2 linked regions of the Notamacropus eugenii genome follow. The protein of the gene in region 2 interacts with the protein of the main gene of each other region in a biochemical or structural test. Links are inferred from orthologs where the notes say so. Each region holds a gene or a part of one and is shown on either strand. Other genes may lie near its edges. The genes, in order: ACVRL1 and SMAD1.

The links.
Region 1: of the proteins of SMAD1 (region 2) and ACVRL1, one has a biochemical effect on the other in vitro, tested with the Homo sapiens proteins (2 studies listed by BioGRID). The link is inferred for Notamacropus eugenii from reciprocal best matches to the Homo sapiens genes SMAD1 and ACVRL1.

What each region holds. Positions count from the first base shown.
Region 1 is NC_092874.1:224,305,537-224,320,939, reverse strand, and holds the start of ACVRL1 (activin receptor type-1-like), read right to left. Parts: upstream 6,080-15,403; 5' UTR 5,282-6,079; intron 1-5,281. UniProt on the Homo sapiens protein: Type I receptor for TGF-beta family ligands BMP9/GDF2 and BMP10 and important regulator of normal blood vessel development. On ligand binding, forms a receptor complex consisting of two type II and two type I transmembrane serine/threonine kinases.
Region 2 is NC_092877.1:142,386,465-142,401,851, reverse strand, and holds the start of SMAD1 (mothers against decapentaplegic homolog 1), read right to left. Parts: upstream 5,690-15,387; 5' UTR 5,373-5,689; intron 5,338-5,372; exon of another isoform or gene 4,617-5,337; intron 1-4,616. UniProt on the Homo sapiens protein: Transcriptional modulator that plays a role in various cellular processes, including embryonic development, cell differentiation, and tissue homeostasis.

The sequences.
Region 1 (15,403 bases), on a different chromosome or scaffold from region 2:
TGAAGGAAGAAATGGGCCCTAGAGCTGCACCTTCATTTTCAGTTATGTCTCTTAGACCTCCCTTTTCTTATCACTTCACTTTCAGAGGATAGACTCAAGGAATAACTTTCAGGTGAGGTGGAGGATGAGACATCTTTTTGGCCCTCAATCAAAGGACTCTCATCTAGTAGAGAAGGATCATCATTTACCTGGGCTGGTGCTATTAATTCATGATTGGGGTCTTTCTATAGGGACAGCTGGGGAGGTAGAGGGGAGTTTGGGTGAAGATAGAGCCATAGATTGTTAGAGCCAGAAGGAACCTTACATGTCACCTAGCTGAACTTCCTTATTTTCCAGTGGGATAGTTATATATAATTAGAGAAGGGAAATCACTTGCTTACAATCCCAGCTAGTAAATGCAGAGCTGGGACTCAGCAGGTGGGCAAGTCAAAAGTTTCAAGGAAAGATTAGGTAACGGAGGGAGGAGCGTTAAATGGAAGTGGGATGTAGCCCGATAGTAGTATTAGGATGTGTGTAGATATGTAAAGATGGTTAGGGCTGTGGGTGTATCTCTGTGTGTTTCACATGTGTGCATGTATGTGGGTCATATGTGTGCTTGTATGTGGCATGTGTGCATGCACACACATGTGTAGAAGCTGCTAAAACTGCCCAGCAAACATTCCTGAGAGTGGATGTTGGTAGATATTCTCAGACTTGGGGTCAGAAGCCCTAGGTTAAGAGGATGACTTAAACACATTGGCCACATGGGTCTGGGTACGTCATTTTCCTTTTCTGAGGTCCAGTTTCCTCAGCTGCAAAATGATAATAGCCATATTTGCACTAATCATGTCCTGGTGTTGTAGCGCGAAAAGTTTTTTAAATCTAAAAGCACTATTCTCCCATACCCTGTATTTCTCCCCCACTCCCACCCCCCCCCCCCCCCAGCCTTGTTGTTAAATCTTTACTAGCATATCTCTGTATTACTTTATAAACAAGCTTGATTTCAGCAGGAGTGTAGTAGAAGGCTCAGAAAATAAAGTCATCTCCAGACTTGAGGGTGATGATAATAATAATAAATAATAATGATGCCTTGCATTTACATAGCACTTTAAGATGTGCAAAGTGCTTTACATCTGCTATCTCATTGGAGCCTCACAACAGCTGGGGGGGCAGATATTGTGATTCTGGGGATAGGAGACTTAAGCAAGGGGATTTGAAGTGGATCTCAGAAAAAGGCTATCAAGCTCAGGTTGGTCTGATGCCAAAAGCTAAACAGGAAAAGCCTCTATTTCAGAGACTAATAATTGAAACAGACGAGACAAGGCCAGGCCTGAATGTCTAATCCTTTTATAACAGTCACATTCCAAACCCCTCTTCTTCTCACCCCGGGACTTCAGCCTTAGGCCTTGAGAACTGAGATTTAAAAAAAAAATGCATCATACCTCTAACAATCAAAAGCCCACCCACCTACAGTTCTATTCTGCCTGAAGGGGTGAACGGGGACTGGATCTAGGTCTTCTATGATGACTGCCTCCCCCCAATCTCTTTATGCTTTTAGCCTCTATCAGAAGCACCAGGAAATAGTGGTAAAACTACTGGACTTCCAATGAGAAGGCTGGAGTTTGAGACTTGATTCAGATACTTAGACAGTAGATAATTAGCCCAATCTTTCTGAGTCTCAGATTTCTTCTCTGTAAAATGGAGAGAAGCCACTTCCAAGGTTTATTGGTTGGAAGGATCAGATCGGACAAGGCCTGTAGCTTCCCTCAATATCAGTTTTATGATTAGAGGTTAGAGTCTTGGGGGTTGAAGAGCTTGCCTGTTCTCTTGCCTGTTCCCTTCTCCTTTGGTCAGATTGGGAACTTTCAGTGGGCACGGATCCTAAAATGAGGGAGTAAGACCAGATGATCTCTCTAAAGTCCTTTCCAATGGTAAACCTATTATCAAATCAAATGTATTAAGTGCCTCCTAAGTGCAAGACACCATGAGTACAAAATATACACAAATAAGTCAGTACAACAGAATTTGAGGATGGGGAGTGCACTAACCAGGGTGCTCAGGAAAGGTTTTGTGTAAGGAATGGGACCTGAGCTGAGGTAGTTGAGAGAGCTGGTGGTTAGATTTTCAATGTGAGTGTTGGCAAATGCTTAATTTGTAAATCAAGGTTTGATTTATTGGTTTTGTTGGTTTTCAGGCTTAAGAAAATGATGGAGAAAATTTAATAATGTAGATTAAACTTAAAAGTATATCTGGATACATTTGTTTTCCCCCAACACACCCACACCCACACCCACACACCCACACCCACACACACAATGTTGTTAAACATTCCCAGTACACCTAGGCTCTATAGAATCTTTGTGGGATCCTAACTTGCTGACTGAAATTCCAGAAGTATTTCCACTACCCCTCAGTGCTTCTCAGAGTGGCTAAAAGCACATTGGGGAAACTGGAGGAGTATTCATGGAAGATCCACTCTCAATTCACCCCTTCAGGCAGACTAAACCTTTACAGTTAGAAGGGACCTTTGAGGTCATCAAGTCCCACACAGGTGAAGTGATTTGCCCCAGGTACTGAGGCAGGATTGGAGTCCAGCCCTCTATCCACTATACCAGGCTAGTTTAGGGAAGCTAAGGATTCTCAGAGGCAGAGAAGAGGAAGGAACACATTCCAGACATGGGGGAAGGTCTGTGGGAAGGCACAAAGACAGCAGATGGAATTTTGGGAACACTAGCAGGCCAGTTTGGCTTGACTGTACAATGAGTGAAAGGGGGTAATATGAGATCTCTACAAAGGCATGTTGGAGCCAGAGTGGGGAGGGCTGAAATGCTAGTTGGAGGAGTTAGTTTTTATCCCAGAGGAAATAGGGACCCACTAGAGTATTTTTGAGCAAACATAAGGCCTGTACTTTAGGAAGATTGTTTTTGCAAACTCTATGAAACGTGTATTGGAGAAAGGAAGAAACTGGAAGCAGAGAGCCTCATTAAAAAGCTGCTGCAATCATACTAGGATGATGGCGGTCCTCAACTAGGGTAGGGGCCATGGGAATGGAGAGAAAGGTTCAGATGCAGGAGATGTTATGGAGGCAAAATGCAGAAGACTTGGATATGACCAACTATGATTCCATATTTCTTCCTCCCTTTAGATCATCCCTCACCTGAGAGTGCCAGAGTCAAAGAAGGGAAAACCTTACAACACGATATGGCACTGGGTAGGGCTAATTACTAAACAGAAGAAAGAAGAAACAGATTTCATCATCTAAGTAGACGTACAACATGGTCCTTTCTGGGTAGAGTCCTAAACTGCCCTTAGAGAAAGATCAATTTGCCCAAACAAGCATATATTATCATCTCTTCAGGAAAAGGGAGGAAGTATAATGGTCTAGACAGTATGCACAGTAGATGTTGGTCTACAGAGCCAAGGTGGTCAGGGAGAGTAGGGTAAGGGGAGTGTCCCAAGATGGCAGGGAATGGGTTTACAGGAGAGTCAGAAGAAAAAAACAGAAATGCTGGCCCCCTAAAGGACTGTCTCTTAAGGAGGGCCATAGGAGCATAGAATTTAGAGCCAAGATCATCTTTTCCCATTTCCCATTTTAAAGATAAGGAAATTGAAGGTGAGAAAGGGTAATAGCTAGTAAATGTCTAAGTCAGGACTTGACTTAGATATCATACTCCCTTTGGCAATAAAAGGGTTGTGGCTATGGGGTTAGAGTTATGGGGTCAGATTGGGGGTCCAACCCATCAAGAGCCCTGAAATCTAGGGGAAGACCTAACTGAGACAAAGGTCAAGAAGAGGCCAGAACTTCCAGTCCTGGAAAGGGTCATCACTTGTGGTAGAGACCAACTTGATTCTGCCCACATACATGGGATTTAATATTTCAGAAAAACCTCCTTTGGAGCCAATGGAACAGAAAGGAACTCCTGATAAGATTCTGCAGCCTTACTTGAGGTCCCCAGGATACTTCCAGTTTATTCCTTTACATTAAAACTTTCAGTGGCTCCCATCACCTACCAAATAAAATAAAACCTCCTGGCCCTGTTATTTAAGGTCCTTTGCAAAGTGATGCAAACTCACTATTAAATCATGCATAATTCTTCCTGTTGGTGGCATATCGACTTAGAAAACCACAAATTAACATTATCTATGTTCTATTGTATTTTAATTTATTTTTGTTAAACATTCCCCAATTACATTTTAATCTGGTTCCTATATAATAGGCACCTCTGCCTACAACATCTGTACCACATGTCTTTATCTCATACTATTTTCCTTCATGAGATTACTCTCCATTCCCATTCTCTACCTGCTGGCTCTCATCTGTGTCCCTTCACTCTTAATCATACCCCATGCCTGAAAAGGATACCTCTACTCCTATCTCCAGCCTTTTAATCCCCTCTTCTTTCAAAGCCACATCCTCCAAGAAATCTCCCCTGAGACTGTCCCCACCCCCTCCCCCAACCTCCTTTGATTCTTTTCCTCCTTAAGTGTCCCATGACACCTTACCAGGATTCTCCTTTGCACTTATCTCACACCCCCTTATATCATAGCTGCTTATATAATTGTCCTTCCACTCTTCCCCATTTAGATCACAAAGTCCTTAAAAGCAGGATTAATATCATACCTTTGTACCCTCAGCAGCTTGCACAGAGTAGGTCTTTAAAGATAATTAAGTTCAACTAAATCAATGCAGAAAAGACTATATACACTTTAGAACTGGGACATGTTACCAAAAAGTGCTAAAAAAAAAAAAAGTGAGGGAAATGGTGTGATGAAGAGATCAGATATTTAGAGGACAGATGGGTCACACCAAGTCTGTAGAAAGGAGAGTTGGAGAAAGACTCAAGAAACTAACATGGTCATCCAGAGAGCTCAGTCCCAGGACCACGCTTTAGAAGATAAGAGGCATCTATTCACTGGAAAAGCCCATCTACCCTTGCAAATCAGTAAATCAACATATTGGTGCTGGTAAACAGGGGAGGGGGAATCTAGAAGGTGTAGTTTGGCAATCTGATTTGGGAGTGAGATAGTGCAACTGAGAAGGATGATCTTGGGAAGTTCAGAGCCTATGGGTTACCTAAACAACATTATTTAACTAGTGATCCCTATGTGTTGGGGACCAGAGTTATAGACTAGGGATTAGAGGTTTAGGCCTATGGAGTGGAAGTCATAGGAATTCCAATTATAAGGCCGAGGTTTTCTGGGAATAGGGATATCCCATCCTGGAATCACAATATGGGCTTCACGCCTGGAAATCAGCGAATTTTTCCCCCTCCCTACTCCCCAAGGGCTGACCCCAACTCACCTCCCTGCTCTGCCCTAGGCTGTAGCCAGAGGGCTAGCAGCCCTGGGACTTGGGGGGTGGCGGACAAGGGGGAGGTGTGGACTCAGGCCAGCTCCTCTCCTCCCACGCCCCTGACACCCCTGACTCCTCCTCCTCCTCCTCCTCCTCTGGATCTGAGTTGCGGATGCTCTGCCGCCGGGCCCTCGCTGGGGTCCTGGGGCCCTTGGGGGCCCGGGGATAGGGTGGGGATGCTCTCGATCCCCTCTCCAGCCCCGCTGAGCCCTGGGGGCCGCTTGCTCGGCCCGCCGGCACTCGGGAAAGACCAGGCAGGAGTTGTAAAGTGTCTTCTTCCAGCTTCTTCCTGCCTGGCCCTACTCCGCCACTCCCTCCCCTGTAATATACCGTTTCCTATTGCCAAACGCGTTTACAGGGACTGCTCTCTCCCTGTTTATGGGGCCGCCTCCCCTCTCTTCCTCGCCAGCTGACCATTCCCTCCGGTCTCCCCCGCACCCCCTCCACAAACCTCCCACATCCGCTGCTCCCTCCAGCCCAGCCCAGCCCCGGCTCCAGCTCCCTGGCCTTGCTCGGGAATGGGGATGAAGTGGGGGGGTAGGGCCCCCGCTTTGGGGGCTGGAGTCACCAAATGCAAATCATCATCAGCTCCAAAAGCCCAGCTGCTCCATGTGAGGTAGTGGGGTCCAGAGCCTCTGCTGCTCAAGGCAAGCATCCCAGTGTAAGGAACGAATAGCCCGGCTCTGGGACCTCCGACAAGTTAGCTCGCTTGTCTGTGCTTCATATCCTAACCTATAAAATGAGGAGTACTTACTCTCCAATGCTCTTTTTAACTCTTAAAAAAAATGGATTATAATCTATTCTCTCCTTAAGGCTGTCCCCAGTGAGAGGGTTAGGAGCCAGGCTGAGCAGTGGGGGAGTGAGAGATTCTGGAAAAAGTAGCTCAGGCCTGAAATTGTAAGTCATATCTCAAGGGTGTTGGAAGGGTTTGTTCAAGTCTGTGCCAAGACATACCTGTTGGGACGAGTCCGTTCCAAATTTGGGGTAGTCACCGGGAAGGAACCAGAGTGAGCCTCTTGGGACTAACCTTTCCTATTCCCTGCTCTCCACCATTGTTGGGAAAGGGGTTCATCAAAGGAGCATAAGGAAACACAAAGGGGAAAAAATAAATGGAGTTCCCCAAATGAGGTGGGATTGGGCCATCTCTTTGTAATGGTAGAGAAGGGTCTGGGAATCAAAGGGTACCACAAGCTGGCTAAGCAACAGTTGCAAGGATTGAGTTGCTTCTGCTTTATCTCAGCTCCTTTGGTGACTGACTTCCTTTCCTCTGTTGACATGTTATTATCAGTTGTGAAGACTATGAATTTCCAGAACCTGTTTGAGATATAGCAAGGGTTAAGAAAAAAGAAATCAAAGTGGAAAAATTAAGGCAAGAAGCAACAGGGAGAGAGAAACAAGGACGGAATGCTAAGCATCTAAAGGTAGTGGAGCTGGTGGGCAAAGGGGAAAGAAAAGTCTTTCAGAAGGGCTCTTCCTGGAGGGCTTTTTTGGAGAAGAGTAGATCAGAGGTCTGAAGGGGAAGGACAGGGCTGGGATAAGAGTGGGGAGGTGAGAGATATTCAGAGTCTCTGCTCTTCTCTCCATTTTAATCAGCCATCGCTGACCTAGTTTACAGTCTTCTGTTCAGTGACACATGGATTGGGAAAGAGCTAAAAGTCAGACCTCTGAAGAAAGGGGAAAGGAATTAGAATCTGTGTCCAAGTCTACAACGATTTACTGCTCAGAGGGACCAGCTGTTCCCCATATCCAGGGAGGAAGCAGGCCAAAGGCAGATACTGAGATTAGACATGCAGAAGAACTTCCCAGTTGAGTCAGGCAGGAGACAGGGGAGCAGGGGCCCAAGGGAGCTTGGGAAGTGAGATTTTAAAACCTAGGAAATACATGTCTGAGGCTAGAGAGGTGGGAGAGGGTAGAGAGGGAGTTGTCATTTTGAGTCCAGACTTGGAGCATGATAGAGGCAGAGTAGAGTGGGGGGGTGATGAATTAGAAAGCATTTGTAGCCAGAATTAGATGGGAAATTTCCTTGTGTCCTCTTTGCATTAGGAAGGGAAGGGGAACAAAGATGGGGCTAAATCGCCAAGGGGTGGAGGAGGTCTCATGGATCCCTCACTCCTCTGAATACTAACAACAGCTAGTGTTTTAATCAGAGTAGCTTGGCCCTTAATTATAGGATGTCTTCTGTAATTGTCCCAACTAGATTGTGAGCTCCCGGAAAACAAGTCTCTCAAGCTCTCTTGGCTGCCTTTTCCCCATATATAAAAAGAAGTGTTGGAACTAGACTACCTCTGAGGCCTTGTCCAGCTTGAAATGTGTGAACCAATGATCCACAGTCACTCAGGGCGCTGACTCAGAGAAGATTTCACAGCTTATCAGAGCTAGACAGGGTCATCCAAATTGGTTAGTAACTAGCTTCTTGGCCAACCCCTCCTTGTACAGGTGAGGCCCACAGAAATGTAGCTTATCCAAAGTTCTATAGAGAGTAAAGAGGGAATGGAGCCAGGATTTGAACTCAGTTCTTTTGACTCTAATTCCATTCCTCTAGGCTCTGACTCTCCAGACTTCTTTCTCTACCAGGCTCCAGAAAACCTCAACCCAGGAAGATTCCTGGGGCCCCTTCCCCTGATCTAGCAGTTCCTCCCAGAAGCTCCATTTTAAGGAAGGGCCCAAGGCCAACCATGCTCACATTCCCCTTCCTCTTCAAGTTCCACTCCCAATACTCCAAACTTCTTTCTCATATCTCCTTACACTCCCTTTTCCTAGCTTTCTGTTATGTTTTTCACCATTAGAATGTAAACTCCTTGACAGCAGAAGCTCTCTTCCTTCCTTCCTTCCTTCCTTCCTTCCTTCCTTCCTTCTTTTCATTCCTCCTTCCTTCTTTCCTTCCTTCCTTCTTTCCATTCTCCAAGGGCTAATTTACAGCTTTGGTGCCAGATACCAAGGACAAGAGAGGTCCCTAATGGGCTATGTACCATTATTTTAGCTGACTGTTCCTCCTCTACTCTCTGCTATCCACCTTGTAATTGCCCCAACCTCCCAATAAGTGCTGTAACCTAGAGAAGGAGAATCTCCATCCTAGACCAGGTGAGATTTCTGTATCTGGTCCTAGACCTCACAATGTCAGAGGGATATGGAGGCTTTGGGGGTCATGAGGAGTAATCAGAGGAGGGACACAGAGACTGAGAATAAGACCTGTGACCAAAGAGGAAAGAGCTAAAGATTGGGGGCAGGTAGTTGGAAACTGGGACTGAGAGAAAGGCTGAAATATGAGGAAGGATGATTCTTTATCACAGAGAACAAAAACTTAGATGTGGGAGATTTAGGTCCTGGACTCCAAGGCAGAAGGATGGATGAAGTGACCCGTTAGATGTCATCTATCTCAGACAAGCTGGCACCCCCTGGTTTCCCCAGCCCCTCTCTCTGCAGCTGACAGGATGTATAAGGTACTGGAATGGGGGGAGTGGGGGAAGGGCAGAGAGTGGAGAAGTTAATGGTCTTAGAAGTTCAGGAAGGGACTGGTAGACCTGCAACAGGGGATGCCAGACAAAGGGCCAGTGAGTCATCTTCCTCTTCTGTTCCCAGCTACTGTTTACATCTTGGGATCTCCAAGCATTGTTCTTCTTTGGAGCTGGTGAACAAGGATAGGGCCTGACTGTCTTGCCTATTCTTTCCTATAATCTTTAATAAAGGATCATTATTCAAATTTGTATAGTTAAAGCATAATTTATCCATGATGATCCTGTGAGCTATGTAGATGCATAGCATTATTATACCCATTTTACAGATAGGTGAAGTGATTTGCCATGATTATACCTTGTATTTACACCTACATTTTCTGACTTCTTTCCACTGGATCCATGGTCCTTCCTTTCCTCACTTAGATCTGGTCTTGACTCCCTAGACATGCCCACTTAATGGGATACCCTTTCACATAGGGTGCCCAGACCCACTCTGCAGGAGTCAGTTTTCCTAAACCAAAGTGACCAGCCGCTTCTACCCTCTTCTCGTATAGGAGAAGCCAGTCAGTTGTCCTGCCTCATATCGAGCCTTAGAGAGCTCATAAAGTCAAAATCAGACACACATACAACACGAAATGGAAATAGTAAAATAAACAGATCTAGGAGCACAAGATATTTAGAGAACTCTTAACACAGAGCTGGGATAAACCTTGGACTAGTTCAATCCTCCTCCTTCCCCTCCTCCATTTTAGAGATGAAGTAACTCCGGCCCAAAGGGAATAGTTGGTTTACCCCAAGTAGAAGACTATTTAGCACATCTGGGATTTGAACCCTGGTCTGTGAAATACAGCCCAGATTCTCTTCCCACTACATCGTTCTCACTTTAAGTGCCAAGTTGTCATTCACCAGAAGTTATCTCAGGGCCTTCCATTATTCGTCCCAAATTTATCCCTATTCTCTCTCCTTTCCCCTCCCTTTTTTAACCCTTTAACTCTGTTGCAATGAGAAGAACTGTGAATTTGAAGTCAGGAGACCTAAGTATTGGTGGAAGGAAGGAAGCAAGAATTTATAAAGTTCCTACTATGTGCCAAGCACTAGGTGCTGGTATTATCCCCATTTTACAGTTGAGGAAACTGAAGCAGAGGTTAAGTGACTTACCCAGGGTCATATAGCTAGTAAATATCTGAGGTTGGATTTGAACTCAGGTCTACCTGACTTTAGGGGTAGTTAGGTGGTGCAATGGATAGAGAGCCCAGCCTGAAGTCAGGAAAATAAGTCTTCCTGAATTCAAATCTGGCCTTAAACACTTACTAGCTGTGCGACCCTGGGCAAGTCATTTAATTCTGTTTGCCTCAGTTCCCTCATCTGTAAAATAAGCTGGAGAAGGAAATGGCAAACCACTCCAGTATCTTTGCAAGAAAATTCCAAATGGGGTCATGAAGAGTCAGACACAACTGAACAACAACAACTTCCTGACTCTAGGCTCAGGGTTACCATACACTGTGGTACCTCTTAGCTTTCCCTGATTCTAGGCAAGACAAAGGGAACATTTATTGAACATTTACTATGTGTTGGGTGCTTAGAAGACAAAGACCAAAGTGAAATAATCCCCATCCTCAAGGAGATCAGTGTAATAGCTACTAATCTAGTCTGCATAGAAAACAGAGTATGAGAAGGGGAATGTAGTGAAATAATATTGGAAAGGTAGGTTAAAGCCATATTGTTAGGGGCCCCAAATTCTAGTACGATGGGAGTCTGGAATATAGACAGAATCACTTTAATGGAACCATCCCACATGGAGATGTGGAGATCTTGCTTTCTGCCTCTGAGAGAATCATGATAATGTGAATGGAGGTATCATAGAGAGACTATGAATCATATGTGGAAATACTTTAACTGGTTCCAGCTGGATAAACATGTGGTTCAGAGAAAGTTGATTAACTACTCAAGTCTGTATCCCAAAGAGATCATAAAAAAGGGAAATGGACCCACATGTACAAAAATATTTATAGCAACTCTTTTTGTGGTGACGAAGAATTGGAAATTGTGGGGATGCCCATCAATTGTGGAAGGAACAACAAATGAACAAGTTGTGGTATATATATGCAATGGAATACAGTTGTCCTATGAGAAATGATGAATAGACAGATTTCAGAAAAACCTGCAAAGGCTTATATGAGCTGATGCTGAGTGAAGTGAGCAGAACCAGGAGAACATTGTGCATAGTAACAGAAACATTATGCAGTGATCAACTGTGATACACTTAGCTCTTCTCAGCAATATGATGATACAAGATAATTCCAAAAGACTTGTGATGGAAAATACTATCCAAATCCAGAGAAAGAACTATGGAGTCTGAACACAGATTGAAACATACTATTTTAATTTTTTGTTTGTTTTTTCTTTCTTGTGGTTTTTTTCTTTTGTTCTGAATCTTCTTTCACAACATGACTTATGTGGAAATATATTTAATATGGTTGTACATGTATAATCTATATCAGATTACTGATATATCAGCTTACTGTTTTGGGAAAGGAAGGGAGGAAGGGAGAAAAATTTGGGAACTCAAAATCTTACAAAAATGAATGTTGAAAACTATCTTTAAATGTAATTGAGAAAAAATAAAGTACTGTTAAGTAAAAAAAGAAAGAAAGAAAAAGAGGAGGCTGGTTAGCTTGGAGTCTAAAGCAAAATAAATCTTTTGAATTAAATATCCCTTGGTAAGACACTATCCATTTAATCACTCCACAATGGATAGAGTGCCAATCACTGGTCCTAAACAATGAGAGAACACAGCCAGTGGGGGCTCAAGCTGATAGTACTGGAAAAGAGACAACCCCCTTGAAACCTTTCAGGGGATCTAGGGAAATGACATGTCCAAAGTCACAACTAGAAAGTTAGTTGTTAACAACTAGTTAGTTATAGGAGATAGGATTTGAATTCAGGTTTTCTGACTCCAAAACTAGTCTTCTTTCCATTATGTCATGTTGCCTCTAACTGTCTTATAGGCAATAAAGAGACTATAAATATTCTTGAGTGAAAGAGCAAGATGTTCGACCCATCAATAAGGAAGATTGTGTTGGCAGCTGGGTGAAAAATTAATAAGATTTGGGGTGACTGGAGACAAAAAGAACAGTTAGGAGACTATTAGAGGACTCTAGGGGGGAGAGGTGATGAGGGTGGTCATGTGAGTAGAGGAAAGAGTGTAAGGAAAATGGACAGAACTTGGAAACTTATTGGTGTCCTCTAGGAGTTGATATCTTCCATCATAACTCCTCTCTCCAATCTTTGCTCTGTCTGTCTGTCTGTCTCTCTCTCTCTGTCTCTGTCTCTGTCTCTCCTGCCTACAAACATGCCTAGATCTTCCACGTCCTTCAAAGAAATATCACTCACTCCTACTATCCTCTCAAACTGTCATCCTAAGAAATGATGAGCCCAATGATCTTAGAAAAACATGGAAAGATTTGCACAAAATAATGAAGAGTGAAATGAGAAGAACCAAGAAAACACTGTATACAGTAACAGCAGTATTGTTTTTAATAATTTGAGAGAATAAGTCATTTTGACTGTTATTAATACCCAAATTAACTATAAAAAATGTGAATAAAAATGTTATATTCTGACTTTCAGAGCCAAAATCCTAGAAAAAGTCATCTATGCCCTTGCTTCTCCTTCCTCCCCTCCCATTCACTCCTCAGTTCCTTAAAATCTAATTTCTGATCCTTTCACTTGACTTAAACAGCTTTCTCCAAGCTTACCAATGACAACATAATTGTATAATTCAATAGCCTTTTCTCAGTCCGCATCCTCGATGATTTTTTGCAATACTTTGCCAACCCATCCTTCCTTGTGCATTCTTGCTGAGTCTTCATGTTATTTCTCTATTTGGGTTCTTCTCTTACCCATCTGAACACTCCTCAGTTTCCTTTGATGGCTTATTATTCATATCCTACCTATTATGGGAGGATCTATGCTAAGTCTGTATCCTGGACCCTGTTCTTTCTTAGTAATCTCATGGGTTCCCATGGACTCAATTCATCTCTATGCAAATAGTTCACAGATCTACATATCCAGCCCATATCTCTTTCTTGGTCTTACCAACTATCTGCTAGACATCATGGGATGTCTCATTTGTATCTCAAACTCAGTTCATCCAAAATTAAATTCACTCTCTTTTAAAATCACTCTGTTTCCTAATCTATTTCTGCCAAGGGCACACCATCCTTCAAATAACTCAGGACTCACGAGGCAGCTAGGTGGTACAGTGGTTAGAGTGCTTGGCCTGGAGTCAGAAAGACATGAGTTCAAATCTGGCCTCGGATACTTACTAGTTATGTGATCCTGGTCAAGTCACTTAACCTTGTCTGTCTGTTTCTTTATCCTTAAAATGAGCTGGAGAAGGAAATAGGAAACCATTTCAGTATCTTTGCCAAGAAAACCCCAAATAGGGTCACAATGATTTGGACGTAGCAGAAAGTGTGTGAACATCATCAAACCACGAAGTCTTATGGGATACCCTCTCTTGCTACCATAGCTGGTCATTTAACAAGTCTTGTCTATTCTATCGCCCCAACACATTTTGCATTTACCTTCTTGTCTCCCTTTGTATAGCTATCACTGTTGGTTCTTTTTTTTAAATTTAGATTTATTTTTTCATTGTTATTTTATTTGCTTTCAGCATTCTACAATCACTTCCATATATCTTAGATTTTTTCCCCTCCCTCCCCCCTTCTCCCCTACCTCCCCACTTCTTCCCTGAGACAGTATACAGTTTTATACAGATTCTACACATACATTCCTATTAAATACATTTTCACCTTAGTCATGCTACATAGAAGAATTAAAATGAATGGGAGAAATCATAAAACAAACCAAAACATAATACAAAAGAAAATGATCTGCTTCATTCTGCAATCAAATTCCATAGTTCTTTCTCTGGATGTGGAAGGCATTTTGCCTTAAGAGACCATTGGGAATTATTCAAGTCCTTGCTTTGCAATGAATTTCTAAGTCTACCAGAAAAATTCCTTGCACACTGTGGTTGTTGCTGTGTACAAAGTTCTCCTGGTTCTGCTCCTTTCACTCAGCATCAGTTCATATAAGTCTTCCCAGGCCTCTCTGAAGTCTTCCTGTTCATCATTCCTTATAGCACAAAAGTATTCCATTACATTCATATACCATAATTTATTCAGCCATTCCCCAATTGATGGGCATCCCTTTGGTTTCCAGTTTTTGGCCACCACAAAGAGAGCTGCTATAAATATTTTTGTACATGTGAGACCCTTTCCCATTTTAATGATCTCTTGGGGATACAGTCCTAGAAGCACTACTGCTGGGTCAAAGGGTATGCACATTTTTGTAGCCCTTTGGACATATCACTGTTGTTCTTACCCTTATTTAGACCATTATAGTAGCCTTCTAATTAGACTCCCTGACTCCATTTTCCCAACTAACCAATCTATCCTTCCAAATATTCCTAAAGCACAGTTCCTATTGTCTCACTATCCTACTCATAAAGCATCTGTGACTCCCTATAGTTTCTCTCTAGGATGAACTATAAACTCTTCTATTTGATATTTAAACCCAAGATGGCACCAAGTCATATTCCCTGTATCCCAGCCAAACTGACATGCATAGGATTCCATCTTCCATTTCAATGCCTTTGCACACCCTACCCTCCATTGTCATCTCTATCTCTATTCTGGGCTCAACTCTAGTGCCTTCTCCCCCACGAGACCTTTTCTGATCTCCCTCAATTGTTAACACTTTCTTCCCACTCTAGTGATTCCATTGATTTTTTGTAGATATTTAGTATTGACTTATGTTCTTTTTATATTATTTTTAACATTCTTCAAAACAATTTTTTTGAGCTCTATATTCTCTCCCTCTCTCCTATCTTTCCCCCATCCACTGATAAGGCAATTTGGTAGTCTAGTACCTCTTTGCTCCCAAACCTTCTTCATAGCCTCCCAAACACTGAGCTAGCTCTGGCAATGCATGCATCAACCTCATCGTCAATGTGTACATCCCTGGAAAGTACACTGCCAAGGTAAGTGAACTTATCTACAGCCTTCAAAACTTCTCCATTTGTTGTAACCAATATTTCCACTTATGAATGGTGTGGTGGTGGCTGATGGAGCACCTGTGTTTTTTTGGTGTTAATTATTAGGCCAAAATTAGCACAAGCAGCAGAGAACTGACCCATACTTTGTTGCATCTCAGCTTCAGAGGCTGCATTGAGTGCATTATCATTTGCAAACAGAAAATCATGCACCAACACTCCGTACACTTTGGTCTTGGCTTGTAGCCTTTTCAAATTGAAGAACTTACCATCACTATGGTAGTTGACCTTGATGCCGTGTTCATCCTCATTGAAAGTATTTGTCAACATGGCTGAAAACATCATGCTAAAAAGCATGGAAGCAAGCACACAGCCCTGTTTCACTCCATTGGTGACTGGGAAGGCACAAGAGCTTTGTCCATTATCCAGAACCTGGGCAAACGTGCCATCATGAAATTGACATATAATATTGATAAACTTCTCTGAGCAACCAAATTTTGACATAATTTTCCATAAGCTCTCATGACTAACAGTGTCAAAGGCCTTGGTCAGATC
Region 2 (15,387 bases):
ACAAACAGATCTATGGATGCAGAGTTTTCCCTTTTCCACCAGCCCTCTTGGAAAAAAAAAATCAATTTTGATTTGCAAAAAACAAACAGATCTATGGTTGTCAGACCTGACTCTCAGATGAGAACATGTGAGAGAAAAGAACAGTGTTGTGCCAATGACTTCCTGACCCTGTCTTCCCCTGCCCCACCCCCCCCAACTGTGCTGGACTGATGCAGGAAAATCTCAGCAGCTCACAGGATAATGAAAGAGAACTAGACTGAGTTCAGAGCCCTGAGTTCTGAGATCAGTTATGACACTAACTAGCTACATGACCTCACCTCAAATGGACCAGTCATTGCACCTCTACACCCCAAACACTTTCATCCATAAAACGAGATAAGTAGTGGTACTACAGAGCAAAAGAGGTTTCTGAGGACAGAGGTCAAAGCAGGGTTTTGCTACTTACTATCTTACTACCAGCATAACCCACATTTCTCCTCTCGGTGGGACTCAGTTTCCTCATCTGTAAAATGAGGTCACTTCCAGCTCTAAAATTCCATGATCCTATGATGTCTGTAATATAGAAAGATGACCAGAGATAATCAAAGAGGAATTAAAAAGATTTCATTGTCATGGAAACACCTCTTTCTCACAAATTTTAAGGCCTGTCCCCTCAGAGACTCAGATAACTATTTCAACACCAACATATTACTAGTGAGATCTTACTACGCAGCACAATAAATTCCAGGTTATGCAAAATAAAGAGGGAGATACAATGACATTTCAAACGACAAAATAATTTAAAAATCATTTGAGCTTTTGGATGCTCTGAATTTTTTCCCCTTTTGCTTTAAATTTGCCATCCTATTTATGCTTCTCTTAAATTTGAACATTAGCCAACTGAAAAGAAAAGCAAGTAGTGCATCCCCCAGATATATGTGTATATATGTACACACGCACACATACACACACATATATTAGTTCTTAAACTGGTAAATGGATAGGACTGAAAAAACTATTCAGAAAGCTAAGCTGGGACAAACACTTTCACCCAAAATCAAATTCTGACAAACCGGGACCAGGAAAACAGTGATTAAAAAAAAAAATCTCCAAACTCACAAATCCTCCGTTGCCCAAATGATTCCTTCCATCTGCACTCCCAACAAATCAAGCATCTAACAAATAATAAAGTTAATTAGCATTTGCTATCACTTCCTAAACATCTTCTAAAGGAGAGCCTAGCCAGAAAAGAAATAAATGAGAGTCCAAGGAGAAGCCAAGGACCTAGATAATTCATAAACTGGATAACAAGCCTGAATAATTAAGAGCTGGCTTACAATCCAATCAAAGATTGTTTTCTTTTCTCCTGGATTGCCTAAGCAGTCAAGTCAAACATTTCTTTTTCTGCTTAAGACTTTGCCAACCAATTTAAGTCTAGTACAAAGAGAAATAAAGCAGTTTCCTGTCAGGTTATAGCAGATATAGTTTAACCCCCAAAACAAAAGAAACCTAGCAACAAGAGAAGGATGGAGGGCTAGAGAAATGTAAAGAGATGCTCACTTTGCTCTCTAATCTTCTCTGATGTCTTAGGTAGTACATATCCTTTGCGATCTTAGGAATTCTGGGATGTGGTACCCAAATCAGTTTGGGAGGAGATGATTCAAGTATTCCCAGCATCAGTTATCTTGAGTATTAAAGAAAAAGTTGCTCAAAAAGCGATCTCATTTCAACCTTGAAATTCTCTGTAAAACCACAGTTGATAAATTTAAAAATGTACTATCAAGTCTTTTTTTTTTTTTTTTACTCTTTTAGAAACACAAAGAAGCGTTACTGGGAGTCTGGGGCCTTTTTCATAAAAAAGAAAAAAAAAGGGCCTATAACACTCATCTCTGAAGTATAATACCAAATTCCAGCTTAGCTGCTCCTGTAATATGGTTTAATTATGATGACTGAACTAATAGGCTGACATCATAGACTTTTACAGGCTGACCCCATGTCATCCTGATGTATCATTTTGCACCAGTTCAGTGCTGTAAATCAATTTAAGATCTCAAGCAGGTTGAAAAGGCTGGTAATGATGCTTTCTCTGCAGTCTCTAGGGACTCTACATTATACACAACTTACATTATTTATAAAGCTCAATGATGCCTCCATTAGCCTTGTAAGACTACACAAATGAGCCCTTTTATACACACACAATACACAACTTGGGCTGTATTATACAGGCTGCTGCAGTTTAAATATGTCTGGCTAATTACACCCAAGTTTATTCCTTCTTTCCAATCATTTACCTATTAAATTTCATCTTTAACCCAGAAATACACCTATTTTAATATTTAGGGAAATATGATTTCCCAGCCTCCTCTAAAAAAAAAAAAGATGTATTAATTGAACTTGGGTGTGTTGTAAAATTTCCTACAATTACCTTTCTAATGTAACAATGTAACAAGGCAACATTTATTTATTTTTAAATGACTGAAGCTACCACTTCTCTTAAGTGCAGTGGTCATCAGATCTTCAAGGGTATAAAAGAGGATACTGAGAGACAAAAAAATGTATTTGGTTAGATACCTATGGTTAGAGGGGTCAAAACTAAATCAAGGGCAAATCCCCACCCTCAGGGGTAACTCAATCCTTCCTTGATCCTCTCTAGAGGTTTCTGCATCACCTAGCCCCAGAAAATCATCTCTGAGGCTCCTAGTTAATAGTTTCAGAAGAATTGCAATATTACAAGCTGAACATCACCTGCAAAGAAATATCAAATAACTCCAAATGGGAAAGGATGGGAATGCAGTGAGAGAAAGCACTTCGAGTCTGTATAATATACTTAAGCCCAATACCCACAGACAAAAATGGCAGTGATGCAAAGAACACCGGTGCCAACTGAAACGTTGATGCAGTGAACCCTGATCCAACCTAGATTCCTTTTAAAAACACTGGTTCCACTAGAGCTCACCAGCCTTCAATAAAAGGTAAAGTGGTAATTATAAATAAACAAGATGGATATCACAGCACAGTCTTCTCATTGTGTTACCGAAGTGTGGGCATGCCATCCCTGAAAACCAATTAGAAAGAGACATGTTCGGATAGAAAGCTGCTCTTTGATCCTGCTACTTAAGAGTTTCTTTCAGAGACATCTAGGAAGGCAGGCCCAAATCGTGCCACTTTGCATATTTTGTTCTATATTTTTAACTTCAGGTCCAAGACAAAAAAACCAAAACTCCAAATGTTAACATGCCAATTTTCATGGCAGATCAGAAAGCCACTGGCTTCGCTTGGACCTTGGAGCTGGGCCTTGGTTTTCGGGACCAAGCCTCCGAGGAAATTAAGGTTTTCAATCACATCACCTTTCAAAATTTAGTGGGAAAAAATTTCTGCAGTCGTGGTCATCTTAAAGTCGGCCAACGTTTGTTCCTCTTTCCCATAATACACCTAAGGGAAAAACCCTGTTCCTATAAATGCTCCCATATATTAGGCATGTAGAAAAACAAGCCCACGTTTCTCTCTCAGTCTTCCCTCTCCCTCCCCCCCACCCCCCTTACATAAACTACTAAGGGAAACACTAACAAAGGCTTGGGAGACAGTAAATGACACAGTTGCTCACGAGCAAACTTCGCAATACACACGGAGGGAGACGATCGGATCCGGTCCAGGGGGATCCACGGGCGTGGGGGAGGAAGAAAAGGGGGAGGGGGGGCCAGGGGGAAAGGCAAGCAGAATCATCCTCCACCAAACCTTGGAATACATTAGAGACTTTGGGTCCGAACTTTCCTTGACCTCGACCCCAAAGATTGAACGAAAGGAACAGAAAGGAAAACAGGGAAAACGGGCGGGGGTGGGGGCCGGAGAAAGGCTGAGTTTTCTTTCTTCTCAGCGATCCACACTCCGGACAAACTGAGATCGAGAGTATGCGTATAAAAGAGTGTGTGTGTGTGAGTGTGAGTGTGAGCGTGCGTGTGTGTGTGCAGACACACACACGAGACATACCCAGCCAGGCAGTTCCTGAAACTCCCACAAGTTTGGCCGCCCCCTCCCCGCTCTGCGGGCGCAGGACACAAAGGGGCGCCCCGAAGGAAGGGAGAGGGAAAGCGGGAGCAAAGTCAGGGACCCAGGAGCCCGAGGGGAGCCGGCCTGGGCAGGCCGGGACGGCCAGGGCAGAGGCAGCGAAGGCGGCCCCCCTCCCCGGCCCAACAAAGACGCCAACGCAAAGTTGGAAGCTCAAAGCGCACCCCTGCAGCCGGCCAGGGGAGAGGGGAGAGGCGGGGGCCGGGGGGGCCTAGGTTTCTAAGAGCTTCGGGCGACGCCATCATGGGGGGGGCCTTCCATCCTCTTCTCCCCGAGAAGAAAAAGCCCCATTCCCCCAAGCCCACGTACCCCAAGGGGCCATCCCGGCGCTGCGGCGGGAGTCTGAAATCAGAAAGGGGGTTAGAGAGAGAGGGCCGCCGGGGGTCAGTGGGGAGGGGGCGGCCGGGACTGCAGCCATCCAGGATTCAGCCACCCCCACCCCTTCCCGGACGGCGGCACCCCCCCCACACCACCCTGAGTCCGGCTCCGGGGCTGGGAAGGAAGGGAGCGAGACGGAGCGTCCGGAAGAGAAAGTTGGGGTCTCGGGGATCGGGGGGTTCCTCGGTTTTTACCCCGTGGGCGGCGCGCCCCGCAAAGGCGAGCGCAGAGTCACCGCCGGCCGCGCCGCCGTGGTCTTGCTGCCGTGGCTCCCGCAGCTCTGGCCGCCGGTGCCTCCCCTCGCTCCTGCTCCGGCCGCGGCTCCCGCGGCTCCGGCCGCCGCACAGTGGGCAGCCTGCGCCGCCCGCTAGCTCGCTCCCGGCTCTTCCTCCCTCTCTCTCTCCGTCTCTGACTCTCTCTCTCTACCTCTCACTCTCCCTCCCTCTCCCTCTCCCTCTCTCCCTCTTCCTCTCGCTTCTCTCTCTCTCTCTCTCTCTCTCTCTCTCTCTCTCTCTCTCTCTCTCTCTCTCTCTCTCTCTCTCTCTCTCTCTCTCTCTCTCTCCCCCTCGTCCTATCTCTGTCTCCTTCTCTCTCCTCTCCCTCTCCCTCTCTCTCTCTCCCTCTCCCTCTCTCTCCCTCTCCCTCTTCCTCTCCCTCTCTCCCTCTTCCTCTTCCTCTCTCTCCCTCTCTCTCTCTCCCTCTCTCTCTCTTTCTCTCTTTCTCTCCCTCCCTCCCTCTCCCGGAGCCTGGATTGATCTGGTCTCGCTGGCGTCAGGGAGTCGGAGCCGCCCAGCCTCCACTACTCCACTGCCAATACACAACACACACACACACACACACACACACACACACACACACTCGCGCGCACACACTCACACACACACACACACACACTCACACACAAACGCTCCACCACCGCCACCCCAGACTAGGGATCCTCTCCAAATTACCGCGCTGAGCACGCTCGGAAGCAACAGCTGCTGCTGCGGCGGAGGCGGAGGCCTCTGCCTTAGGGGCCCCCGACCAACACGGCGGGGGAACGGACTCTGGGGACAGCTCCCCCCGGCCCCTCCAAAAGAGGGGGTGTGCAGTTAGAACGCCGCGTCGGGTCGTTCTGCAAGTCTGCTTGCTTCTCCTAGTCGGAGCGACTTGGCGTGGATGGTCTTTGCCAGTAAAGTTCAGGGCCGAGAGTTTTATTTTCTAAACTGGCGTTCCCCTCCCCCCGCCCGTCCTGGGTCCTCCTTCTGCGAGGGGGTTCTTCTTTTCTGTTTGGTTTTAAACTCAACAACCAAGACGCTCTTTCTCCGCTCCCCATCTTCCCCCCACCATTTCCAGGCCCCATAAACTCCCAAGGGCACATAAAACATACAGAATTAGTCGCTCACCGCCTTTCCAGACGAGGGCTGCCTAGCTTAGTCTGCCCTCGAAGTCACTAGGTTAGTTCTGTGCCAGATCTAGAACCCCTTTATTTCAACACTTAATCTTTCAGACCCCAAGTAAGGATGCATGGCAGCAAAGGAGACATTCCTTTAGAAAGCGCAAAAGCTACAGACTGGAGGGCATTTTTTCTAACCCACTGGCAAGCCCTTCGGAGATGACCGAACAGCTTGAGGCTTTACCTAGGCTTCCTAGACCCCAAAAAATGGCATTTTTACTCATCAGAAGCACTTCTCTTGGTCACGAGTTTGGAAGCTGGCATGAAATCTTGGGGAACTAAAGCGATCACCTGAAGGAGACCCAATCTATTCCAAGATTAATTGCCCTCTAAGTACCAGGCTCAGCCGTCAGAGCTGGAGTAGTAAAGACGAAACAAAAACCAATTCCTACCCTCAAGGGTCTTGAATTCCACCCCCTGGATACAAAGCATAAATAGATAAATTTGGCCAAGATTACGGGGAGAAAGAGAGCTCTATCCCTAGTTGAGTTTAGCTTTTAACAAAAAAAGTGTATTCACAACAAAATAAATGCTAAAAACAACCGGCCACTGCAATTAAGGACAACACTCCGTTCCTACTTAGGAATTCCTTTTCTTCATTTTTTTTCCATTTATTTCCCATTACTCACCTAAAATGAAGCTTTCTTATGGCTTCCCTACTCATCTCCACCCTTTAAAATCTTTGGTTTCTTTCAAAACAGTTAATGAGGAACCGTCTTCTAAAGTAGAGCTATTCACCTTTAGAAATTATCTTGTGTTAACTTTGTATTTACCTATATACATTCTTGGAGTGTAAACTGGAAACTCGGGATTTACACCTTATATTTTTGTACCTTCAGTGCCTGTGTCCTTCACATAGTAGGCACTTTATAAAAAGTGTGTTGCAGTTCCTAAGATTTAGAGTTGAAAGGGACCCTCCGAATTCGTCATTTATTTCTGTCAAAAATGCACTCTAAATTTGAACTAAATGAACTCTAAATTTGGGCTCCAATCCTATCTATGCACAAGGCCAGGCATTTGATCTTAACCCTTTCTTTTCCTGGGCCTTAGTTTACTCATCTGTAAAATGAAAGAGTGGTGGTAGATCACTTCAACAGTATTTTTCTGCTTCCCTCTGTGACCTCTCAAAATATTCCATTACATTTTGTTACTTTTTAAAAATAGCTCTGTTCCTTTATATTAAGCCCGAAATCTTCCTACATAATTTCCATTTATTGGTCTAAGTTTTCTGCATGCAAGCCAAGCAGAAGTCTTCCATATGACATTCCTATGTCTTTTCCAAAATTATTTTATTCTTCACCTCCCAGATATAAGCAATATCTTCTAGACTGTCTGATTTTGGGCACATCACTTCCTCACTCTGGGCCTCAGTTTCCTAGTTGATAAAATGGGAGTGGACTAGTGGTGGTAAAATAGAATCCCTTTTAGTCTTATGATCTGGAGCCCAGCCTCCCTTCTTTTTATAGATAAGAAGCCAGATCTGCAGAGGGGAAATCCCTTGCCCAAGGTCTCACTGTTGTATACAGCTATTGATAAATATCTGCCTTTACATAAAGACAAAGAATGATTGAATGAAAAAAAATTAGAAAAATTAGTGGATTACATGCATTACAAAAAGATCCACCAGTGTTTCCTTAAATAGCAACTCCATTGCTACATTTAAGTGTGTGTTTATATCAGCGTCCCAGGTGCATTTAAGTGTTAGTTTGAACTTAAATGGCCTCCTAGGATAGCTACTATTAAGAGGAATCCTGCAGTGATAACCACTGGAGGGGGAGGGGGGGGAGATTTGAAAACACTTTTACTGGGAAAGCCTAGAGGTGGCTATAGTACAGTTCTATACATACAGATGACTAATGATATGAAGTTGATATGCACGTATAATGACACTTACTAAAGGATTCACATATTGAACTTACTTCAGGGATTCTGCTCAAAAAGTTCACCCAATGTACTCCCCATTTTCCCCACCTTGATCCATAAGAGTGATGCAGTTTAAGAACCCAGTTTAGCTGGAGGACCCTGCTCCTGTGAAAAGCCTCCTTTCATGGTTCTAAGTGATCCCTCTCAAGTTGTCTATTCTGGAAATTCAGATTTATGGGGTGCTTTTTCCTGAAGCAACAGCTTTGCAATAATTGCCTTCCAGGATCTTTCTGCCTGTCAGAATTTCACATTTAATTCTGAATTCTAAAAATTTAAATCCCTTCATTGATGTTTTTCTCAGTTCCTCAACAAATAAAGCTAAGTAAAAATTCACACCAATCATTTCATATTTTCCGAACAGCATGCATTTTGTAATTTCCACTTAATGGTGTTATTGGTAAGATCCAAATTTGCTTTTATCTGGATTAGAGTTTGAGTTGCTCCTTTCCTGTTCTGTTTCTGTCTGTCCTTCCATGTATCTCCCTGCTTTCCTTTCTTCTTTCTTTCCTCCTCTTCCTAGTCTTCCTCCTTCCCCTTTGTCTTCCTTCTCTTCTCTCTCTTTCTTTCTTCTTTTCCTCCTTCTCCTCTTCCTTCTGTTGTTTCTCCTTTCTTTCCCCCCTCCTCTTCCTCTTCCTCCTTTATCTTTCTTTCTCTCTAGTCATTATTTTTTTCTGCTGAACTGTCCATTGACGCTTCCCTTTGGGTGAGCCAGTATTTACCAAGCACCTACTATAGGCTAAGCTTTGTGTTAGACTCCCGGGGTTACTAAGATAAAAACAGCAAACAGTGGTTGCCTTCAAGATGACATTTGGCGAAATACTAGATAGAAACAAATAAGTATAAGCCAGATAATTTGAAGAGAGGTCACCAACGAGGGGGAACAGGAAGAGCTTTTCACAGAAGCTGGAATATAGCATGATAACAATGTTAGTATTTATGGAGTATTTGAAATGTTGCCAACCTTCCCCAATCTGTGCCTCACAGCAACCCAATAGGCACTGTTATTATACCCATTTCATAGATGAGGAAACAGAAACAGACAGGGTCACACAGCAAGTGGATGACTGAAGCCAGATTTCAAATCTAGTTTTTTCTCACTCCATCCCTCTCTCCAATGTGCTACCTAGCTACCTTGGAAGAATAAGAACTAAGCTTTGCAGGAAACTCAGGATTCTAAGAGAGAATTCTTTACAGGCATGAGGAACAGACCTCCTTTGCAAAAGGCACATGGGGAGGAGATAGAATACTGAGTTTCCTCTTCTACTTACCACCCTCTTATCTTTTCTGTCACACAGAACTTCAGTATTCTCATCTTTAAAACTCAGTTAAGTGTGGATCTTAGGGTTCACATCGATCTATTTAGATGTGATGTCCTGTGTCATTGCATTCCTTTGGGGCACCCAACATGTGACATCAATTCTTCTTCAAATTGTCTGACATGGGCCAGACGATGTCATAAAATCAAAGAGCCTTAGAGATGGCCATAGCCTGAGAGATTATTAAGTGAAGCCAAGTCATCAAGTCCAGGGTCTACTTCACTTGTGCTGATCATTAAAAGTTGGAACTTTTAATTCAAATAATCATCCTGCTAACAGAATGCTAACACTAAGTATTCATTTCTTAATTAGCAGCAAAATTATTGACCTCTCATTTGTAATATTTCGCTAGACTCCCGTAAGGTAACAGTTGCATGGGTCTTTTCCCCAAAGGGAAGATGTCATTTTCCTACCCAAGGTCTTTTGAGCAGTGTCTCTTCTTTCCCTTTCCTTCAAAATTTCATGTCTAAACTCTTAGCCTCCTAGCTGTCTCAGTCCCTCCCTGAATCCAATCCATCCTTCACAGGTGTATAACCAGAATCATCTTCTAAAAGTACTACTTTGATCATATCACTTGCTCCTAAAAAGAAATCTTCCAAGGCACTCTGTAATCTTTCAAATAATGTTCAAATGCCCACAGCAGGTGTCAAGCTCGGATGCCATCTCCAGAGTACTGTCTGAACCAGATTAACATGTAATTGAGAAATGTTTAAGAAATAAATAAGAATACTATAAAGCATAAATAATGTTAATTTGTGGTTTTTTAAGTCAATATGCTATCCACAGGCATCCATTTCCATTTGTTTGACACCACCTACAGCATGAACTTCATCCAGTATCCCCTTTAAGAACCCTCGGTTTTAGCCTATTGGGAACACTCACCATTTCCTGAGCACTGCCTTTCCCATCAATGCTGTAGTCATCTTTTTCTTCTGCTTGGAATGCTCTACTGCTGCCTCACCCCTCAACCATGAATCCATCTCTACTTTTAAAATCTTCAAGGTCCAAGTCATGTAATAATACCATGATACCTTCTTTCCTGTTGACATCAGCAAGGAAGATCATGGGGACAGGATAGAGAAACAAAATGCAGATGGACAAGGTAAGAAAAGTCGAAGTCTTTCTTAAAATGTAGTGCAATTACATGATTTGGAAAGGTAGAATGTAGATGCTATGTGCTTAGAAGATGGATAATAGTATTTTAGGTTTAGAGAGGGAAGTTAGAGATCAGTCACCTAGTCTAACCTCTCCATTATACAGATGAGGAAACTGAGACCTCAGTTAAGTATTACTTAAAAAGCACATGTATTAATACCAAGCAGTGCAGATATATGATTGGATTTACACTACAACTCAGAACTTCCTAGCTCAAGACATCCATCACTCAGCCTCTCTACTAGTAGGGATTACAGGTGTGAGCCATCACACATAGCCTTCTTTGCTCCTTTTCAGGAATTGATAAATGGAGCAAATGAGTATCACGGGATCATGGTAACTAGATTCAATACAAATTTCAGATCCATACTTTCAACAATGCTCTCACTAGGGCAGAACAATTCTTTCATTAATGTTGCTGTTGGTCAATTATTCCAGTTGTACCCAATTCTTCCTGACCCCATTTGGGGTTTCCTTGGCAAAAATACTGGAGTGGTTTGCCATTTCCTTCTCCAGCTCATTTTACAGGTGAGAAACTGAGGCAGACAGGGTTAAATGACTTGCCTAGCGTCACTCTATCCACTGCACCCCCTAGCTGCTGGAGTAATCCTTTCACATCTCCCTAATTGATTAACTGTCTCACTTCAAATCTTTTAGTTTCTCGTCAAGCTTTCCACTATACTTTCATCCTCCCATATTCATAGGTGAGAACTGAATTCCTACTGCACAGAAAAAAATTGAAACTATTCTAGAGCTATAACTTCTCTCTTCTTCCTCTTTTCATATCACTTAGATATCCTCTCCCATTACATTCTCTTTCTGAAAAGACATGATCCTTCTCCTTGCCAAGGTAAATCCCTTTACCTGTACCCTTGATCACTTCCCTCCTCCCCCTCTTCCAAATCAGACTGTCTCAATGATCATCCCCATTCTCTCTTATCATCAATATCTTATCTATTGACTTCCTCCCTGGTGCCCTAGTACCATCCTTGAACAGCCTTGTTTAATCCTGCTACCCTTGCTAATTTTTGACCTATATATCTTTCCTTTCTTGGATAAACTCCTTGGGAAAGCCATCAACACTAATTCTCGACACTCCTTTCCTCTCATTCACTTCCAAACTATCTGAAATCTGACTTCTGATATTATCACTCAATGGAAACTGTGCTCTCCAAAGTTAACACTGATGTCTTAATTACCAAGTCTAAAGACCTCCACTTCTACTGACAAAACACGAGGCTAACTTGTCTAAATCTTTATCTATATGTTTATATCTATATCCCACTCACATCTATATCTGTACCCACTCACACAGTTACCACCCTAGTGCAAGCCCTCATCCCTTCTTCACAGCACTACTACAACACCCTTCTGGCTGGTTTTCCTGCCTGAAGTCTTTCTACTCACCAGTCAAAATGAATTTCTTAACACAGAAGTCTGACCATAACACCCCAATTCTCAATACAGTCCAGTGGCTTGCTATTTGTTAAGGTGTTTTTCAGCTGTGTCCAAATGTCTGTGACCCCATTTGGAGGTTTCCTTGGCAAAGGTACTGGAGTGGTTTGCCACTTCTTTCTCCAGCTCATTTTACAGAGGAGGAAACTGAAGCAAATAGGGTGAAGTGACTTACCTAGGGTTGACTTACCTAGGGTCACGCAGCTAGTAAGTGTCTGAGGCCACATTTGAACCCAGGTAGAGGAGACTTCCTGACTCCAGGCGCAATACTCTATCCACTGCCCTACCTAGCTACCCATGGCTTGCTATTAGCTCTAGGATAAAATATAAAGTCCTCTGGTCCAGTTTCTTAGATTCTTTAGCAGGAAATACCTGGTGTGTAGTAATCACAGTAGCAGCCAGTAAGGTGGTGTAATGGACCACCCATGGACCTGGAGTTAGGGTGACCTGAGTTCAAACTAGCCTCAGGCAGTTTCAAGCTGTGTGATCCTGGGCAAGTTACATAACTGATGTCTGCCTCAGTTTCTGCATCTGTAAAATGGGATAATAATAGCACTTACCTCTCAATGTCATTGTGCTAAATGAGTTAATATTTGTAAAACTCTTTGCAAACCTCAAAACACTACATAAATGCTAACTTATTATTAGCTAAAGACAACTGGGGAGTTTTTGAATTTGAAATATAAGTGCCCAGGTTCATGCCACTGCATCTTAGCAAGGTTGGTCACCAAAGAGCATTTCTTCCTGTCCTTTCTAAGATGTAACCCACCCTAACTAAGCTCACTGTCTCATTTTCCCCTCTTCAGCTGCCAGAGCAGGGGCCTGACTTGTCTAAAGCGATACCTGATGGAGACCAGCCACTTCTAAGAACTGCCATAAAGCCACCACCAGTGATGACCATAGGCTGAAGCAGGAGAGTGTGTCCTGGCTGAGAATCAGCACTGGGCAAAGGAGTCAGCCAGATCAATGCCAGCAAATATGAGCAGTACACAGGCAAAATGAGTGCAGGTGGCCTCAGCTAGGACACAAGCTAAAACAAAAAGCAAAACAACAAAAAAGGATGATTGAAGGATAATTTCACTAAGTTTGGGAGTGATCTGGATTGCATGATAAAGATCTTACCACAGGAAGGTCAAGAGATTTTAAAGGACTTCTCCGCTTTAAAGAATCTTCTAGTGTTGAGACATTTTTAGATCATAAAGACCAAAATTTGAGTGGATAGATAGTTGACCCTCAGAATGCTGTGGCCATGAATAAAAGATCCCATGAAGATCTTTGTTGGCAGACATCATCTAGAACTTACAGAAGAACAAATCTGGTAATACTTTGGAGACTTTGGAGACACTGAATTCATCAAATTTCCAATGAATTTGGATAAAAGAAGATTTGTATTTATCTTCATTTTTAAAAAATTTTTTATAGATGTTTGCCTCACCATAATTTCTCCCAGTATCCTTCCCACACACCTCTATAGCTATCTCATATACCGTATTTTTTTAAACCGTATTTTTTTAAAAATGAAAAAAGAGAAAGAAGAAAAAAATTCAGAATAACCTCCATCTATTGAGAAGACCTGAAAATGTATGCCATGTCTAAGACCTATGACTGTCCCACCTCTACAAAAGGGTAGGAGCTAGTTTCTCATATCTCTTCCTTTGAGCCATACTTGTTCTTTATAATTTTGCAGTATTCACTTCTGATTTTTTACTTGTATTTCTCCTTTTTTGTTTATATTGTTGTGGTAGTACCCGTATATTCTTTTCTTAGTTCTGCTTACTTTCCTCTGCATCAGTTTATATATATGTTTTCTGTATTCATCACAAGCTTTTCTGTATTCACCATGTTCATCATTTCCCATGGCACAGTAATAGTTCATTACATTCATATACAGCAATTTGTTTAGCCATTCCCTCCTTAGGGGAAATTATCCTTCTATTGTGATGTCTCAGTTTTTATAGCTGATGGCTTATTTACCATCTGTGTATCCAGCTAGATGGCATAGTGGATAGAGCTACAGACCTGGAGTCAGGAAGACATGAGTTCAAATCAGGCTTTAGATAGTTACTAACTGTGTGACCTTGGGAAAGTCACTTAACCCTGTTTGTCCCAGTTCTTTATCTGCAAAATGAACACAAGAAGGAAATATCACACCACTCCACTGTCTTTGCCAAGAAAACCCCAAATGGGGTTATGAAGAGTTGGATGAATCTGTAAAACAACTGCAACAAAGAAGTCTCAGGGAAATACAGTTGTTTCCCAGATGTCTTTAGCAACTTTCACATTGTTTCCATTTCAGGGACCGAGTATAATATAGTGAAAAGAGATCCAGGCAGGCATATGCTGGAGCCATCTCCCTAGAGTCTATTGTTAACGTTTCAGTCTGAATATTTGCCCTTTGGAAATTGACAAACACTCCAGATCAGGACTTGATTCTTGTTTTGCTGATTGTCTAGACTTAAGAAAGTGATGGTGAAAATGCTAAGAATGCAGATTAAACTTAAGAGCTACTATTTAGTATATACTAACCCTTTATATCAGGCAGCTAGGTGATTGCAGTGGATAGAGCACCTGGACTAAAATAAGAAAGACTCATCTTACTGAGTTCAAATCTGGATTTAGATACTTACTAGCTATGTGACCCTGAGCAAGTCACTTAATCCTGTTTGCCTCAGTTTTCTCATCTGGAAAATGAGCTGGAGAAGGAAATGGTCAAGCCACTCTAGTGTCTTTGCCAAGAAAACCCCAAATGGGGTCATGAAGGGTTGGACACTACTGAACCACAACAACAACCTAATATTTTCTACTAAATATAATATATTATAAATGTAATGTATACTTCCCCCCCCCCCCCAGAGAGCCAGTTGTTAAACCTTTACCAATATACTGCTGCATCTAGTTCTCTTTTCCATAAGTTTTTGTAGAACTCAGAACAGAAAAAGACCTTGAAGATCTTCTGCCTTCATTTTCCAAGTGACTGATCTGAGGTCTAGAGAGATAAAGTGATTTGTCCAAAGTCACATAGCTAATGAGAAACAAATCCAGAACTAGTTGTTTCTTTCCCTCTCTTCCTTCTTTCCTTCCTTTCTCTCTCTCTTTCTTTTTGAAGTTAAGAACATTTTACTACATAGATCATATGCTCTAGGGACATTAGACTTGGAAACATCTTAGAAGTCATTGCATTTGATTCCTTCACTTTACAGATGAGAAAACTAAGGTTCAGTAACTATGACTTATTCTGACCATAGATGAGGTTCCATCCTAAAGGCATTTTGTATTTCCCATATTTCTTGACTAGTTCTAATACTAATGTAACCACAGGCAAAACTTTTATGAGGGTGTTTTTCTCATCTGTAAAAGGGGACAGAATGACAAGGCATTCTTCTAGCAAAATAAGAACTGTGGGCAAAGGAGGCTGGTCTGAACCAACCCCACCCTCCACCAAGGGCTCCAGCCCATGGTAACCAAGGGCTCTGCTCAAGGTTGTGGATGCTACCACTGTTTATTGTAGTCTTTATGTATTTCTAAACCATTTTATATATATATATGCGTGTGTATACATATACATGTATATATACATATATGTGTGTATTTTATATCTATATATAATTTTACGAGGTTTCTACCTTTCTTCATGTGTCATTGAGAGAGTTGTTCAGTATTATAACTCTATAGTTTTTATTG